2 linked regions of the Ovis aries genome follow. The protein of the gene in region 2 purifies or fractionates together with the protein of the main gene of each other region. This does not show direct contact. Links are inferred from orthologs where the notes say so. Each region holds a gene or a part of one and is shown on either strand. Other genes may lie near its edges.

Region 1 (3,752 bases), on a different chromosome or scaffold from region 2:
GAACCATAAGATAATAAATTTATGTTGATACTAAATTTGTGGTAATTTGTTATAGCAGAAATAGGAAGACACCTTCCAAGATCACACTCAGACTTCATTAAAGAGGAGGTGCTCACTTCATTTGGTTCCTAAATAATCTTTGATGATACAAGAGCATTACCAAAGAGGAATTTTGAAATATTGTTCACAATCACAGCAACTTTGCAATTTGAGTGTTATACATTGGGTGGAGGTGATAGAACATTCTTTTTTAGGGTAACCATTATTTGGTTACATTAGCTACACTATATTGAGGAATTATTTATTTTTAGTTGAGTTCTGTATTAAACTTGAATTAATTTGTTCAAACCAAGGAATCTTAACAAGTTATACTATGCTTGTTGAGTTCTATCCTAGAGAAAGTGAAACTGATTTAATTAAAAAAAAAAAAAAAACCACAGAGAAAATTTAAGTGAACCAACTTGCAGCTACAAAAAGGAAAACTAACAGTGCATTAGAAGAAAGAATTTTTTAAAATAAAAACTGGGGAAATTTACACTATTGGATTTCTCATGGATTATGAATTAATTTCCAAAACAAAGGGGCCACACCCAAGGACACCATAATCTTTTGGAAACTCTACTATAAGTGCCAGAGCTCATATATATATATGTATGTCTCCTTCCATGCTTGTATATAATGCAGGTGAAAATATATTACATGGGTTGGATAAATGAAGTCCTTGGTCTTAGTCATTAAATTGGTTAAAGGTATTATTATATGCTACAGTATTAAAGTATGAAAAGTAACATAATATTTAAATCATAGTAGCAATCCAAAGCAAAAAGAAAATCATTCAAATGAATATTTCTAGGGTACTTAAGTCAAACTGAAGATATAAATTTAATTTAGTCATTAAAATTTTTCTATAAACTAAGTATTTTTAAACACAAATTTGGTTAGGGTTCAAAACTAAAATCATATCCCTTTTGTCGATGCCCTTATCCTATTTAAAAATAATTTAAAATTAATTATCTTTCTTTTTGTATTTAAACAATAAAGTCTAATATAACATCTTTCAGAACTAGAAGGCTGTAACACCCAGTCTGCAAACTGCTGGCAAAACTTTAGAGATATCCAATTATGAATCATGCATGCATTTTTTAAAAAAAGAACTCATGCTTCTCTTCTACAACCATTCAACCTTTTAATCTCCAAATCTCTCCACATTTCAAATCCCAAATAATCTCAGATTTGAGGATATTTTATTTTTATTTTTGTATCTAAAAGTATATAAAATATATCTGTTCTATGTAGCATAGTTTGAGGAAAGGACGATTCGCTTGTGAAATCACTTGTTAAGTTCCAGGTTGAGTTACTTTTCCTTTGTCTTGTTATGCTGGAGTTTTTGCAGTGTACATTTCATATAAATATTATTTTTCAGAATCAGAAATCGTTGTCGAAACCTGGAATAAAACTGGAGTGACTGCCAGGAAGAATTTATTTTTAGCCCCAGATTTAGGAAGTTAGTGAAGGCAAAACACACACACACACACACACACACACACACACAGAAAAACGAACTCACAACTCATCCTCACACATACAAAACTGGAGTGGGGAGAGGAGAAATGACATTTTTTAAACTATGAGGAACTGAAAACTTCCCAGGAAATTAATGTATACCAAGTAAGTTTAAAATACCCCAAAAGGTAAGAGACACTCAAGTGGTAACTAAATTGGCAGCATTATTTCAGGCATAATTGCACTAATTTTTTTTTTCATGTATGTCTATTTCCTAAACAAGCATATATGTTCCTTACTCGGTTAAAAAAAAATAATAAACACGATATATGGTTGCTTCTGAATAATTTCAATCGACCTTTATTCCAACTTACACAGCAGTAGATTTCCACTGAAATCTCCCTCTCACCGCCCCTCCCCCCCCAACAAAGAAGTCGATCAGCTCCATTCACAATTTTATAAGTTCGGGAGTAAGTGGTCCAGCATGTCTTACTGTCTTTATACTCGTACTCCAGACGTTCGTCAATTTCGCATATCGGTCTATATTAACACACGTAGGTTCTCCCTTCTAGATCTTCACACCGTTTTAGAGATCTGAACCCCACGCGCCTTCTCAGCCAGCTCCGCGGCCGTCCTGAGCCCCCTGAGAGTCGCCGAGAGGTCTCCGATCCCGAACTCGGTCTGAAAAGTCTCCCCTTTACCAAGAAACGCTTACCTGGTTCCGACTCACTGGCGGACCTCGTCCTCCAAAGCCTCTCGCCATCCACCCACCCACCCAGCCGCCCACCTTTCCGCGGCAGACCTGCTGACCCACCTGAATCGCGCTTCGACCGTAACGGTTCGGCGCGTTGGCCAACGCTCCAGCCTCGAGCAGTGCCCGTACCTCGTCAGCCCGGCCCCGCGCGGCGGCGGCGGCCAGCAAGTCAGCCGAGGTCTCCATGCTGCTCCCCAAAGCTCGCCCCTCGCTCCCTCCCTTCCTCCCGCCTGCGTCGAGCGCGGGCGGCCCGCCCAGGCTGCTCCTGAGCAGCCCGCCCCTCCTCTTTCCTCCTACGGGGCTGGCGGAAGCGGCCCCCAGACTCGGCCCCTCGACTCCTCCCGAGGAGTCTTTCCACCCGGGGAGCGCCCTCCACGCGCTCTTCCAGGAGGCGCCCTTTGCTCCTAACGAACAAGACGTCTATGAAGTAGCCCCCGCCGGGCCTCCTCGGTCACAGGTCTGCCGCCCACGCGACCCGAGGCACCGGCCGGAAGCTGTCCGCTCCGGTAGCGCGACGGGACCGCGAAAGGAGGGCGCCCTGGGACCTCCTCCCCGCCCCCCGCCCCGCGTCCGCGCGCAGCGCGCCCCCACCCCCATCAGAGGCGCACGCGCGGCTCCGAGCGAGTTCACTCCAGCCAAGTGAAAATTCCTCGCGTATACACCCTGAGTGGCGTGAGACAACTGCATAGGATTCCTAACTGCCAAGTTCGAACCAGTGTGTTTGGAGTCATAGGCAAAGTTATTGCTTCCTCTTTTAATCAGAAGAAACAGCCAGCTTGTCCTGGCCCCGAGCGCCCAGGATAGGTATCAGCCATTCCACCATGAGGCTTTCCTTCTTGGAGAGGATACACTCCCCCTCCAACGCTCAGCACCAGGTTTTCGAGCGCTGGCTCGATTATGCCAGAAATTCTAGCTCAAACGTCCCTTCTGGAGAACTGGCTCACGCGCCAGGCTGTGCCTCCCTCCCTCCACACACATGTAAAACGGATGTCGGGGGAGAGCGTTTCCTAGGCTTGCACAATGCCTGGTACTAGTGCCCAGTATACGGGCTGGCTCCGAGCAGATGAGGTCAATTTAAAAGGGATGGTGGAGATTTCTACCTGTACGCAGATAGGAAAGTGGCAAGGGTATCCTTGGGCTTAGTAGGCTCTGTTCTCAATAATTTCTCCTACACCAGAAAACATGCTCATTGCTCTAGGGACAGGGCTGCATTCGGAGATGATTCAGAAAGCAGGCTCACACACTGTCTTGGTGCCACTTCTGTCCACCTTTCCTTCCTGTTAGAAAAACCTTACACTTTTCTTAGTTATAAAATGGAGGGGGGAATAAGAGGTGTCCCTACTTCCTAGGACTGTTTTGAGTTTTAAATGAATTGATACACACATAAGCATTTAGAACAGTATCACACATCCTAAGCTCATGCCTGTTAGCTCTTAACATCCATTTTGAAGATTTTCTTGCAATCTAGGAGACAGAGAAGGAAATGGTTTAGGTA
Region 2 (2,893 bases):
ACCGTGAACATCCGCTGTTGACGTGGTGGTTCTTCTCGGGCAGCCTGTTCATATCACTGAGGATTTCCTTATTGCTTCCCATGTGCCACCCTGACCTTGGGCTTGAGGCAGGTTGTGAATGTATCAGATATGTCAGGCTCCTCTGGGAACTTAACTCCCCCCCAAGGTCAAATGTTAATCAGTTGCTATTCAGTTTGACCCCTAAAATGGTCAAGATCTCATGCCTGTAGGCAATGGTGATAACATGTGCTTCTATCTGTTAGCTGCTGTGAAGTCCCTGTTAATGTGGCACTGCCTGCTTCTGTGCCTTCCTGCCACTGTCTTCCCTTGAGCTCCACGGAGAGAGGCCCAGCCTTCCTGGCTTCTCTGCTTGAGTCAAATGGAGCCCTTCCCAGCTCTTGCCCTTGAAGCCTGATCCAGTATCCACTTGGAGCCAGTTGCTAAAGTCTGCAAGCTTTGTGGTATAAGTCTTTACTCACTCATAGGTCCGTGATCTTGAGACTTATTACTCTGTGTCACTTAAGTTCTACTTTCTTGACTATTTACACTGAGTACAATGTACAGTAGTGTTCATTTTTTAAAAAATAGCCTCCCCACTTTAACTTGAGAAATTATATATAACTCATAGATATTTTGGTAATGGTTATGTTATATTGGGCACATAGTCATATAGTTTGATTCTCAGTATTGATTGGAGATTTATTTAAACTCACAAATAAAAGGAGTTAAAAACAAGTGCAGTGACTGAGGGTCTCCTTTGCTTTTCATGGGCTTCCTAAAACAGGAAATGGAGCAGACGAGAAGTGCTGTAGACGAAGACCGGAAAATGTACCTCCAGGCTGCTATAGTTCGTATCATGAAAGCGAGAAAAGTACTGCGGCATAACGCCCTTATTCAAGAGGTAAAAGGGGAAAGCCCTGAAGACTTCTTGGCAGAGAGTATGAGAATTAGGCATGTTTCTTTGTGAAGATGATACAGAAACCTGTGACTCCTGCATAGCATAAAGAAATGCTTTTTGTTTCTGAAAGAGAACAGCGCTCATAAATCCAGTATTAAATTCACTTTTAGATTTAGAGGTCTGAGCCTTGTGTCCAGTTATTGAAGGAGGTCGCCGGCATCCACCACTCACTCGTGCCTTGAATTCACACGTGTCTCCCGTTTGGTGGAGTACTGTGCTGGTCGCCGTGGGGTGCACACCAGCTCAGGACATGGCTTCTGCCCTTTGGGAGTTCAGTGTCATAAGGAAGAAATGCATTACTGAAGTAATGTGTCAGTAAATATAAAATTACACTAATGTGCAACAGAGAAAAGGGATATGGTTCAATGAGAGTGTACACAGGTCTTGACTCAGGGGGTGTTAGGGAAAGCTTTCTTGAGCAGGTATTCCTTCAGCTAAGAGCCAGAAGTTGTTTAGGGATTAAATGGAAGCTCGAGGGCGTGTATGAATAGTTAATTAGTTTGCGATTTGATTTAGTATGTTATTAGGTTTGGCTGTATCTGTGCCCTTCACCATTTAAATTCCTTCACCTCAACGTTAAGACTATTCCACATAGTTTGCATGAAAAGGTATTTTTGTGCATTGCAGCAGAGTTGAACGAAGTGCTCCTGGCGAGAAGAGCATTTTTACCATCCACCTCTCTCCCACAGGTGATTAGCCAGTCAAGAGCTCGGTTTAACCCTAGTATCAGCATGATTAAGAAGTGTATTGAAGTCCTGATAGACAAACAGTACATCGAACGCAGCCAGGCGTCCGCGGATGAGTACAGCTACGTCGCGTGAGGCGGCGCTCCTCCAGCGTCGGTGTGAGAAGGTCGTTGCCGTCAGCATCCGGTGTGTGCCCGTGGGAGAAGGCAGGCCTGTGCCTCCATAATTTGGTCATTTGGCAGACCCTGTTTCTCTGCTGTTTACAACATCACCAGTGCCACGTCATGAGCGTCAGAGAAGATGCCTAGAGATATTTCAAGCTCATGTCATTATGACATTTCTTAAAACTTTATTAAAAAAAGGATGAGTGAAGTATTGCTGAAATGTGGAAATCTGGCTGGGTACCATGCTTTTTCTCCCCTTCACGTTTGCAGTTGATGTGGTTTTTTTTTTTTTTTTTTTTTTAATGTATCTTAAAGGACATAAGATTAAAAAAAAAACCTAAATATTGTAATATGACAGATAACCTAATAATTGTATCTACATTAAAATGACAAACATGATATTGCTGCTTGTCAAATAAAAAAATAAAGAAATAGAATGCCTTTTTTATGTGGATGGAGTATCACAATACAATGATCAGAAATGTCCGTGAGTCCTTGTGTTCCTGTTTAAATCCTATGTGAAAACGTCTCAGTTATTGTTTCTGAATGCCTTTAGCATAAAGGATGCGTTCAGCATAAGTGATGCTTTCTTTTAATGGATTAGAACTACAGTGGATGTGGGCCTTGTGAGGAGTGAGGCTGTGGTTCTGTCTCGAGTTTCTGGTGGTGTCCTGCTGCAGCACAGAACTGTGAGCGAGGGGATTGCGGTGACCTTGTGTCTGGCTTAGAAAGAGCCGCCATTCCCACCCAGGCTGTGTTACTTCTCTCCACAGTGCATCAGTTCTAATGTCTGACTCCCATCTGTTCCTTCCCTCCCGCCTTCCTCGGGGTCGTAGGTCATCCTGCGGTCCCGGTGTCTGCCTGTGCGTTCCCCTCGTACCCCTGCCTGCCTGTTACTCCCACCTCCTATCAGTTTGACACTAGATTCGCTCCTACGTCACAGATACTCTTAGCAATGCATAACCTAAATACTTTATTTTTCTGTATAGTGCATTACACCAGGTGCCGCTTTTATTGACATGAAAGTTCATTATTTTGTTTATGTGTATCAACAGCAGTATTAGGATACTCTGGTTTATTTCCGT

The links. The genes of interacting proteins can lie anywhere in the genome.
Region 1: the proteins of CUL2 (region 2) and cyclin-dependent kinase inhibitor 2A purify together in Homo sapiens (affinity purification with western blotting; 3 studies listed by BioGRID, with this or other methods). This does not show direct contact. The link is inferred for Ovis aries from reciprocal best matches to the Homo sapiens genes CUL2 and CDKN2A.

The regions. Positions count from the first base shown.
Region 1 is NC_056055.1:90,755,929-90,759,680, forward strand, and holds the start of cyclin-dependent kinase inhibitor 2A, read right to left. Parts: upstream 2,773-3,752; 5' UTR 2,444-2,772; coding exon 2,318-2,443; intron 1-2,317. UniProt on the Homo sapiens protein: Acts as a negative regulator of the proliferation of normal cells by interacting strongly with CDK4 and CDK6. This inhibits their ability to interact with cyclins D and to phosphorylate the retinoblastoma protein.
Region 2 is NC_056066.1:17,725,097-17,727,989, forward strand, and holds the end of CUL2 (cullin-2), read left to right. Parts: intron 1-784; coding exon 785-901; intron 902-1,647; coding exon 1,648-1,779; 3' UTR 1,780-2,294; downstream 2,295-2,893.